Cricetulus griseus: one gene and its partners. The protein of the gene in region 2 interacts with the protein of the main gene of each other region in a pairwise test. Links are inferred from orthologs where the notes say so. Each region holds a gene or a part of one and is shown on either strand. Other genes may lie near its edges. The genes, in order: Cluap1, Cinp and Atrip.

Region 1 (3,651 bases), on a different chromosome or scaffold from region 2:
TCTTTTTCCTACTGGGTTGCTTTGTCTGGCCTTGATATGAGGCTTTCACCTTGTCTTATTGTAACTATCTTGTTTTGTCTTGTTTGGCTGTCATCTCTTGGAGACCTGCTCTTTTCTGAAGAGGAAATGAGGTGGAATGGATGGACCTGGGGAAATGGGAGAGCTAGGAGGAGTGGAGGGAGGGAAACTGTAGTCGGGATGAATTATATGAGAGAAGAATCTATTTTCTTCTGTGTTTTTGTTTAGGTTTTTGTTTTTGTCTTTCAAGACAGGGTTTCTCTGGGTAGCTCTGGCTGTTCTGGGACTCATTCTTTAGAACCAGACTGGCACCAAACTCAGAGATCTTCCTGCTTTTGCCTCCCAAGTGCTAGGATTAAAAGCATATGCCACCACCACCAGGCTAGAGTCTTTTTCAATAATAATAATAATATCAAAGCTTGCTTCTAATTACACAGCATCTAACTAATATTCATTTCCTATGATACAACATTTTTGTCTCATTAAATACTACAGTTAGCTTGAATTTATGTAATAAATAATTATGAAAGACAAATTGTTCCTAGTAGTATGAATGGTCCCGTTATAGAGCATGCTAAAAAAGCAACTGTTTCATGCAGTATCTATGAAGGGACCATTGCTCGTTGGCAGATGCCATACAGTCATCCAGGAGTGCTCAGTAAGGCTCTCACCTATAGGAAAATGCACTAAACTTGAGACCTAGATTCTGGGATTCCATGATGAGCTGGCATTGCTCACCGGGACAACATCAGGGCGTCCATCCAACACTGGGAGCCGTAGCAGTGTGTGGTCTTCCTGCTACACCACAGTTGCGTTGTGTTATCTTCCTGCCTCATCACCATTACACTTCTCTTGCTACTTCTCTGTTTTCATAAGATGTTTTTATTCTCAGGGTCAAGACAATACACCTGACCATTTAGCTCTTCCCCCAACTTGCCTGTTCCCTTTGTGTTTATCTCCTTTGTACCTGTTCTCAGAGAGCCCTCGAAAGAGAGCAGGAACTTCGGGGAATCCTCTAAGAACAGGTTTAGAAAACCTGAAAAGTGTCTCTAGCCAAGCCACTCCTGCTGCTTTAGTTCTAGGTTAGTCAAGACAGAAAACAAGTGGTATAGTGATCTATATTTCATTGATATCAAATTTTCATGGATGAAGTAAGAAGGAAACTAAACTGAGTGGTGATTTTGTGTTATAGTTATTAAATTATGTTAATATGAATCCATTGTCTGTATAAAAACTTTTAGGAGATTGTGGTGGTGATCTTGAGGGATCCCTTTGTGACACTGTCACCAGCTCTAGGCTTTCCCTCATGAACTGAAAAACACAGCTCTTCTTCCTTTGGCTAAAGGAAGCAAGTTGCCTTCCATAGTTCCTGGGTGGATACAGTTATCTCATATAGGCACAAAGGAAAGCCTTTTGGAAGACCAACAACTGCTGGATTTCCAGGCTGACTTCTAAGTCAATGTCAGACCAACGACTGCAAATCTTTCCAAGTTCCTCCTTCCCACCCGTCACTCCCTGGGCTTAGTGAGGCACGAAGCAATGAGAGATTTTTCTCCCCAATATAGTCTCTCTCTGTTGGTTCTGTCTAGAAAATGTTCATAGGTTATAGGCACAAAGACTATTTTTTAAATGTGTATAGAGTGATTTCAGGGCTGGAGAGGATGATTAAGAACCCTTGCTGCTCTTCCAGAAGACCCTACTTCAGTTTCCAGCACCCATACCAAGTACCCCACAACTGCCTTTAATGCCTTTAACACCAACTCCAGGGAATCCCAGCATCCTCTTCAGGTCTCTACAAGCCTCCCCACACATATGGCATACAAGCACACACACACACACACACACACACACACACACACACACACACACACACACTGAGAATTTTTTAATAAAAAAAAAAGTGATTGCTCTTGAAAAAAACAAAAAAGCAATTGCACTGAAAATCCCTTTTATAGAGTACGTTCATGAACACCCCTCCAAAATAAATACAATTTATTTTTAAAAATAGCTTTCTTAATTAGTTTTGTGGGGGGGTTAGGAATTGGACCCAGAGTTTTGCAGAAAGTGAGTACATGCTCTACCACTGAGCCACAATCCCAGGGACCCAATGTAGCCTTTATCTAGAACTTTCCCCAGTGAAGAATGTCATGTACTAGTGCACTTTCTTTCTCGGGATATCCTGCTTTGCTGCCCAAGCCTGGGCTCCCTCCTCGCCTCCATCCTGCTTTATCTTCTTCATCTAGCTCCACTTCTTTATCTTTGTTAAGGTCAGGACTCTTAGTGACAGCCTGGCATAGGACAGAGTGGCTTTCCCTCCCCCATTAGCCAAGGGCTTCCAGCTACCTTGACAGCCAGCTACTCAGTTTGTGAAAAATTCAGTCTGTCATAACACGGTCCACATTCTTTTTGCTTTGAAAAATTGCTCTATTATGAGCTGCATTAACACTTCACTAGTACCTGAGAAAATCCAAGGGGTCTCATAAAAGCTAATAGATGAAAAGGGGCCAAGAAAGGCAGATGCTTTTGCACTGAAGCCTTAATAGACAGGAGATGTTTGGCTGTAATGCAAGAACTACTCCTTTATTCTGCCTTCTGTTCTTCCTGTCAGGTAATGATGACTCAGACATAGACATCCAAGAGGACGATGAATCTGATAGTGAGCTAGAGGAGAGACGGCTATCTAAGCCTCGGACAGCCATGGAGGTGCTCATGCAAGGTAGTATAACTCCTTCTGTTGCCCAGCTCCCTTGCCTGTTTCTCAGATCACCAAGGGCAAAGTCAAATGGGTGCTGCTTAGCATTGAGATCCACAGGGTACTGTGAAGGGTCCCCGAAGCCATTCCTGCCTCCTTTTATTTTGTTCTTCCGGATCTGTCCTCATACTGCTCATTGGGAATCGTTACCTCTAACAGTCCTTCTGTTCAATTTCATGTGGCTAAGCTGGCCTTTAATTTACAGTGTACCTCAAGATGACCTTGAACCTGATCCTCCTGCCCTACCTCCTAGGTGTTGGGATTATGGCATTCACCACCATGCCTAGCACCTGTAATGTTCTTCTCTGTGGCCCTGGGAATTGATGATTCACAGATACCTCAGAAATGGCCTCTGCAACTGAACTCTGTATTCTGCTCATTTGGGTTCGGTACAGTTACATCCCTGTGGCCAAGGAATTAACACAGAGTAAAGGGATCACATGAGTACATCTCATAAAAAAAAAAAATTTAAAATGGTTTTTTCTCATGTTCCACTTCAACCTAGAGGGTCATAGCTAATTTTCAGGGGCTTTGTCCTTACAAATTGATTTTCCATGCACATGTAAGATACACTCACATACACACATACTGTCAAACATAGGTAAAAATATTGCTTGAAAATTCTTCAGCCTAAGTGGGAACAGATTACATCATTATTCTATGACTTTTATTCTGAAAATTAAATATATTGGGGCTGGGGAGAAGGCTGAGCCAGTAAAATGCTTGCTGTTCAAGTATAAAATCTGGGTTCAGATTCCCAGCACCCATGTGAAAAGCCAAATGCTGTAGTGCCTGTCTGAAACCCTAGTACTGGGGAGGTAGAGACAGGAGGATCACTGAGGCTTGTTGGCCAGTCTTATTGAATCAGGTCTCAAAAAAAT
Region 2 (3,651 bases):
ACCACTAAAACAAAGAAGAATAGCCCTAAAGAAAACTGAGTTAACTAGGTGAGTGAACACACACAAACGGTTTATGTGATCCAGGTTGGAATGGTACAGAGCTGGCACAGGCGTACAGAGTAAATAAAGACCATGTTGGAGAAGGAATGGACAGACATGGCTACTAGTAATAGGCCTTGTGATACAGGTTGTTATGTGTCAGGACCTCACAGCCTCATACATTATTTACATACTTTGTTTTGTTTTTTTGAGACAGGGTCTCACTATGTAGCCCTGGCCAGCCTGGAACTCTGTATGTAGATCAGGCTGCCCCAAACTCATGTGTATCCACTTTTAACAACCCTGTGGAGCAGATGCTGTTTTATCACCACTCTGCAGATGAGAACATAGAAGGTCCAAGAGATTGACAAATACATTTATACTCAGAGCTATGATTCATGCCCAGGAAGCATGGTCCTCCAAGGGTAGCCTCCGAGGCATGCAGCTGTCGTGTGTCCTGGATTCCTCCCAGCTGTGAGATGGCTATGTGGGTTCTAAGTTGACAAGGCAGCACACACACTCTGCTCTTGGTCTTGCTTTCCTTGGACAGTGGGATCAGATGAGTCTTCGATGGGCGGCCCTAGCTTACGGAAGGAGCTTCCCGGAGTTCTGCCTGGAGGTGGAAGGCTGGAAGTGGGGAGTGATGAGTCTTGAAGCCGTGTTGCAGGCAGGAGCATGGATTTCTCCCCACTCCTATGCAGAGCAGCGCAGCCTGGCAAGATCTCCTCTCCATGCCCAGTGTCCCACTTGCTCAGTATATGATGTGATGAGCTTTCAGGAGTCAAAAGGCCTGGAAGAAGATGGCTGGAATACGTATAGTCAAATCTAGATGATCTCATAGGAGAGAGAATGGGACCACTGATGTGTTAGCACAAAGTCACAGTTTTACTTGTTTCTGACTCTTAAAGTAGACAAGGTGCTGTGACGTACACCTTTAATCCCAGCACTGGAGAGACAGGAGCACCAGGATCTGTGAGTTCAAGGCCAGCTGGGGCTACATTTGAGACCCATGGAGCCATGAGCTGAGAACATCCTCTTGGTTTCTGGGACATTGGTTTGTCCAGTTTGTGTGGCATTTCAGACCATTTTACTATGGAGGGCTGTGGTCATGTGTTCCTTAACAGTCGTGTTTCTCTTGGTCCCTATCAGCAAAGACTCTTGGAATTGCAACACCCAGAAAACCCGTCTTATCTGTCAGTGCAAGAAAAATTAAGGACAATGCAGCTGATTGGCATAACTTAATCCTGAAATGGGAAAGCCTCAGTGATGCCGGTTTTACCACCGCGAGCAATATTGCCAACCTAAAAGTCAGCTTGTTGTAAGTACATTCGGAGTTCCCACACTCTGTATTTAACCACTGGGTGCAGGAGTCAAGAGGGTGAGAATTTATTGGTGTAAATAAGTAAAATAAAATATTTAACCAAAAGAATGGCGAAATGATACATACAAATATGAGCCATACATATACATTTAAATGCAAGTGTTGGTAGGATGTGCTGAAAAGGCAAAGACAGGAGGATTACAAATTTGACACTGGGCCATAGGCATGGCTTAGTGCCACCAAGCCTGATGAGTTCAGTCACTGCAACCCACGGGGTAGAAGGAAAGAACCAAACTACTGCAAGTTGTCCTTCCCTGTCACACCGTGGCATAAATGTGCCCATTCCTATATACACACAAGTAAATGTGAAAATAAATAGATTATGCTACATATTGTTTACAACTGTTGATAATGTTATAAAAAGATTGGAAAGAGGAAGACGCAGACCCATCACATTGTCTTGCGGGAATGTGGGGTGGCAAGTAAATGGGATTTCATGCTGCTGGCTGCCGTTTGTCCTCACCTCCCTTCCACTTATTGATTTTGCTTGGTTGCTTTATGGTTCTTTTTGAAATAGTTTCCCTCCCTGAGGCTGGCCCTGAACCCCATGTATTCTTCCTGCCTCCGTCTCCTAAGTGCTGGGTTATGTGTGTGCATCGCAGGACCTCACTGTCTGCCCAGGTTAATCTCACACTGGTGGGCTGATTTTCTGCCTCAGCCTCCCTAAGGAGTTGGAACCACAGATGGGCACCATTGCACCCAGTTCATTTTTTTGTCCCTTTTTGTTTGTATACATGGCTATTTTGTCTGCGTGTACGTCTGTGTACAGCTTGTGTGTCTGTTGCACACAGAGGCCAGAATAGAGCATTACCCTGAAACTAGAATTGCATGTGAGCTGTCACGTGGGTGCTGGGAACAAACCTGGGTCTTCTGGAAAAGCAGTCAGTGCTCTCAGTAGCTAAGCCTAATTTCTCCAGACCTTACTGCTATTATTGTTTTTTAGACTTAGTAACTTTATTTTGTGTGTATGAATGTTTTGCCTGCATGTATGTATGCGCATCATGTAGGTGCAGTGCCTAAAAAGGCCAAAAGGGGGCATCGGATGCTCTGAAACTGAAGTAACAGACAGCTGTGAGCCCCAATATGGACACTAAGAATGGAACTTAGGTGCTCTGACAGAGTAGCAAGTGCTCTTAACCACTGAGACGTCCCTCCAGCCTCCATCCTTTATTTGTTTTGAGACAGGGACTTATGTAAGGCCCAGGCAGCCCTCAGACTCACTGTGTGGTTAAAATGACCTTCATTCTGCCTTCTCTCAAGGGCTAGAATATATTTATAGGTGTGTGCCACCACCTCCAGCTTCATTTTTTTTCTAAAAAAGACAAAGTAGGGGTGGGGAGACTAGAGAAATGACTCTTGAGGTTAAGAGTATTTTCTACTCTACTACCCAGGAACTGGGTTCAGTTCCTAGCATCCCCCTGGCAGTTCACAGCTGCCCTCTTCTGGTCTCTATGCATACACATAGTACACATACCTATAAACAGACACACAAATACACGTACACGCAAATTTTTTTTAAAAATGAATAGAAAGCTGGATGGAACAAATGATGGTGCACACCATTTAATTCCAGCACTTGGGAGACAGAGGCAGGCAGATCTCTGTGAGTTTGAGACCAGCCTGGTCTACAGAGTGAGTTCTAGGACAGCCAGGGCTACACAGAGAAACCCTGTCATGAAAAACTAAAACCAAAAAAAGAAAAAAGAAAAGAAAAGGAAAAAGTGAAGACAAAGGAAAAGGAAACAAGTATGGTGGCTCATTCCTTCAGTTCCAGCATTTGGGAGGCAGAGGCAATTGGATCTCGTGAGTTTGAGACTGGCCTGGACTACAGAGCAAGTTCTAAGCCATAGTGAGGCCCTATCTTAAATAAAAAGAAAATAAAAAAGCTGGGCGTTGGTGGCACACACCTTTAATCCCAGCACTCGAGAGGCAGAGGCAAGCGGATCTCTGTGAGTTCGAGGCCACCCTGGTCTACAGAGAGAGTTCCAGGACAATCTCCAAAGCAGTACAGAAAAACCCTGTCTCAAAAAACCAAAAAAAAAAAAAAAAAAGACAAAGGAGGAGTTGGAACTCATAATGCAAACATGAAGACCTAAGTTCAAACTTCAGCACCCAGTGTGTGTTTGTAATCCCTGCACTGAAGCAGAAGACACAGGCCTCCGTCCCAGCCTAGTCTGTGCCCCAGGTCCCAGTGATTAGAAAGCATGTCTTCAAAAATGTCGATGGTGGCC
Region 3 (4,186 bases), on a different chromosome or scaffold from region 2:
CACAGACCTTAGTTATTAAGACTGGGGTATTCAGCCAGGGATGGTAGCCCACACCTACAATTCTAGCACTTGGAGACTGAGACAGGCGGATTGTAAGTTTGAGACCATCTTAAAAAACAAAAACAGCTGAACATGGTGGTTCATGTCTATAGTTCCAGCACTCAGAGGGGAGGAAGGACATTTTGGAGTTCCAGGCCAGCTTTGGTTACATGTCAAGACACCGTCAACAGGCGGGGAGGGGGCTGGGAGGCTTAAGCAGTCAACATGTTGGGCAGCTAAAGGAAACTACTAGCCGCTGCATCCAAAAACTAAGGCCGTTCTAAGTGAGCCAATGCCTTCTGGCCTCTGTAGGCATCAGACATGCATGTGGAGCACACACATACATGCAGGCAAACACACACACACACACACACACACACACACACACACACACACACGACCTAAGGCATTCTAGGCCTGAGCACTCTCCTTTTTCACCCAATGTCTTAGCAGACAGATAGGCTCACAAGCTAAGTCTGGCACCCAGGAAGCAGAGTAGAAAAGTCTGATCCTGTTGGTCTCCAATGCTAACCCCCCAGTCCTGCCAACTGTTCCGTCCACCACTTATGCTCATAAAAGCCTATCATACACCCAAGCGCAACCCAAATCTTCGCTCCACTGTGAAGTTTTACCACACCTCTCTGCCGCAGGAACTTCCACCTAGTATCCTTGTCGAAGATGACTTTTTCTCAGTAACATTATGCGTCAGGCTCTTACCCATTTTTCTTGCCAGTTTTCCCTCAACCTGTTAGGCGATCCAAGGACCACTCACAAGGAGCCTTCCTTGACCGCTTGAGCTTCATTCACCTCTATGCAACCAGCGCTCAGGACATAAAGAGTCTCCGAGAAATAAGAAAGTTCAAGCAGCGGCGAACAGACACACCGTTCTCAAGATCGCCCTTCCCGGACTTTCCTCAAATACACACATCCTTGAAACATTCGCTATTCTGGAAGATCCCTTCTCCCCAAGGCAAGAGAGTCTCCGGATACATGACAGGCGGGGCAGGCGCGGTGAGTGACCCCTGGCTGCTGCCCGTCTCGACTCAAGGCGGACTGTATTCCACGCAACGCCAGCGGGGACAGCCACAGGTGCGGCCGGACAGACGCTCCTCGGTCCCGCAACACGGGTAGCCACGACAGCACTGCACAGCGCCCAGGCACAAGCGGCGACTTCGCGGTGCCGAGTCCAGACTGCAGCAGGAACCTGTCAGGTGTAACAGCGCGCTCAGTACACGTCATCCCTCCGCGCCCGCTAGCTGACAGCGGATTGGCCCGCAGGCTGGGGAGACGCTCGTAGCTGAAGCGAGCCGCGGCGCGCGGGCGGTTGGGCCAAGTCGGGCTTTCTGCGGACGGGGCTGCGCTTGGCGTCCTCGGACGCTGCGGGCAGAAGGAAGTCATGGCTGGGACACCCGCACCGAGCAGCCACAGGAAGCAGAGCGGCGGCCCGGCGCCTCTCCCGGGCCTATCGCGGGCCTTCGACAACCCTCCGAGCAAGCGGGCCCGCAGCTTCTCGGAGACCGCGGACCCGGACCCCGAAGACCCATTCGGCGCGCACGCGGAATTCACCGCGGACGACCTAGAGGAACTCGACATCCTTGCGTCACAGGCCCTGAGCCAGTGTCCGGTCGCGCCTCGGAACAGCCTGGCCAGTGAGTGCCTGAGGGGGGCCTTTCCCCCGGGGTGGTGCACACCGCTTCAAAGCGGTGGCTTTGGCAATGGTGTCTTGCACCGCTTCCCCTTCTCTTTATAAGGCGAGGGACCCCGATCGAAGCGCGGTTCTGCTTCACAGGGCCCTTTGATTTGGTGTTACAACATCCAGAATGCCCAAAGGCCTCACATACCCAGGCTTTAAATATAGATAGCCAGACTATTATTTATTTCCCTTGAAACATAACTACGACCACTTCAGAACTGTCACAACCCATGTGAGAGGATTTAGATTTTATGCAGCCCAGCACGAGCATGGGAAGCGTCTGGCAGAGGCAAGAAATGATTCTTACACAACCAGTAATCTACGATAGTTACCCAAAAGTTAGGAATGGCAACAGCCACGGGCAATGAGCAAGAAATATCAAAACTTTCCTTCACAGAGCTTACATCTTAAAAAGTGAAATCTCGTGGACTGTCAGGAGGATCTGATGGGCCCTTTTCGTCAGTTCTTAACACCTAAAGCATCTGAAAAATAGGATTATTCCTGGAAATGTAGACCTCCATCTCTCCAGCAATATTGCCTGGGAAACCTGGCATTAGAAAACACTCATTGCTGACCAGATGTTTTAAGTGGTAGTGGTGAGCACTACTCTCCACCCAATGGTACAGGCAACTCCTCCTCTTTCTTTGGCCCTGCATTACCTGAATCCATCCCTGAAACCCCACCTCCCCCGTGAGATATATCCATTTTTTTCGACATTGTGTCTTTAAAGACTAGCAGATCCTATGTCTAGCATATTGCAGTAAATAATATTAATGATACATTGTAGTTATAACCAGTGATATCTCAGCCATTAGCTGAGATTCTTGAAATTAGGTGCAAAGGGAGAGTATTCAGACATGCTATTTCATAAGAATTCTTTATGAGTTTACATCATGTTCTGAGATTGAAAGTATTGGTAAATATTATTTACTGGGTCTTTCTCAACTTGGCTTTCAAGACAAGCATTTTATGACAAAGGTGGGTACATACTGAGTCCTGAAGTATTTATGGAATTTTTTTCCCAAGATTTTCTCACTCTATAACTAGACTAGCCTTGAACTTGGGATCCCCCTACCTCAGCCTCCCAAGCACTGGGATTACAGTTCTGTGCCACCATGCTCAACTTAATGGGAACTATTTTTTATGCAGGTGCTCATAAGGTCTGCCAATTAGATGGGTCATCAAATAGTCCTATGAGGAAAAACAAAGAAAATGCTCCAGTTAAAGATAGTTTTGAATTAGAAGTACTTCAGACACAATACAAAGAACTTAAAGAAAAGGTATGTAACTTGTGAGGTTTCTTTCCTTGTTTATTTGGTGTAATGCTGAGAATATAACTTTACCTTTACACGTGCTATAAACAGGGACACCGACTGCTAAGCTATATTTCCAGCTCTAACTTCTTGCATTTGTAGCTAATTCATTCATTTACGTATTAAAAAGCATTGTGTAAAAAAATATAAAATTTTTAAAACATGCATGTAGATTCACCCCCCTGAAATGAAAGATTAGGGGAAGAATGCCTGATTTTTTTATTTGCTCTGTGTATGCATGTAAGTCTATGTGAGTTTACATGCACCACATGTATGCAGGTGCCCATAATGGTCAGAGGGTTTTGGATCCTCTGGAACCAGAGTTACAACTGGTTGTGAGCCACCTGATGTGGGTACTGAGAAAGGAACCTGGGTCCTCTGCAAGAGCAGTAAGTACTTTTAGCTGCTAAATCATCTCTTTAGCTCCCATAACCTGTATCTTTCATTTGAGGAACAATCATTATATTGGTTGCTATTTCATTAGTTTTGTTAAGTAATCATCATCTTTCATATGGCCATCTGTAAGTGCCTCTAAGAAACCCAGGAATGTAACATGGAGCATTAGTTCTGGAGTGTGTGACCCATAGTGTCAAAAAAAGTTGAAAGAATTTATGTATATGTGACAAGTGTATTCTGAAACTGTTCTTGCTGAATACCAACTGACTGGACATAATTTACAGCTGAAAGCAATGGAAGAAGAAGTCTTAATTAAGAATGGAGAAATTAAAATTTTGCGTGACTCACTGCATCAGACAGAATCAGTTCTAGAAGAACAGAGAAGATCACACTTCCTTCTTGAGCAAGAGAAGACTCAAGCACTCAATGAAAAAGAAAAGGAGTTCTCTAAAAAGGTGACCCAGATCATTTGTTTTGCATGCTATGGACAGTAGTTTTGCCTATTCGCTAAATTCCATTAGAAGCAATAACCAAAGCTGGGTGTAGTAGTGCATACCTTTAATTGCAGGAGGCAGAGGCAGGTGGATCTCCATGAGCTCTAGGTCAATTTAATCTACATAGTGAATGCCAGGCCAGTTAAGGCTACATAGTGAGACAGTATCTCTAAAAAGTGAAACAAAATAGAAACAATAACAAGTGTTGCCTGGAAATATTCAGCCATCATTTGTCTTAAGTACTTCCTGCT

What was found.
Region 1: the proteins of Cinp (region 2) and Cluap1 interact in binary tests that used the Homo sapiens proteins (3 or more experiments, as listed by UniProt). The two-hybrid records come from large-scale screens. The link is inferred for Cricetulus griseus from reciprocal best matches to the Homo sapiens genes CINP and CLUAP1.
Region 3: the proteins of Cinp (region 2) and Atrip interact in binary tests that used the Homo sapiens proteins (3 or more experiments, as listed by UniProt). The link is inferred for Cricetulus griseus from reciprocal best matches to the Homo sapiens genes CINP and ATRIP.

What each region holds. Positions count from the first base shown.
Region 1 is NC_048600.1:42,721,001-42,724,651, reverse strand, and holds part of Cluap1 (clusterin-associated protein 1), read left to right. Parts: intron 1-2,626; coding exon 2,627-2,734; intron 2,735-3,651. UniProt on the Homo sapiens protein: Required for cilia biogenesis. Appears to function within the multiple intraflagellar transport complex B (IFT-B). Key regulator of hedgehog signaling.
Region 2 is NC_048598.1:183,138,484-183,142,134, forward strand, and holds part of Cinp (cyclin-dependent kinase 2-interacting protein), read left to right. Parts: intron 1-1,188; coding exon 1,189-1,357; intron 1,358-3,651. UniProt on the Homo sapiens protein: Component of the DNA replication complex, which interacts with two kinases, CDK2 and CDC7, thereby providing a functional and physical link between CDK2 and CDC7 during firing of the origins of replication.
Region 3 is NC_048597.1:217,184,733-217,188,918, reverse strand, and holds the start of Atrip (ATR-interacting protein), read left to right. Parts: upstream 1-1,316; 5' UTR 1,317-1,435; coding exon 1,436-1,688; intron 1,689-2,881; coding exon 2,882-3,012; intron 3,013-3,725; coding exon 3,726-3,896; intron 3,897-4,186. Other genes in the region: Ccdc51 (mitochondrial potassium channel), read right to left, coding at 757-760. UniProt on the Homo sapiens protein: Required for checkpoint signaling after DNA damage. Required for ATR expression, possibly by stabilizing the protein.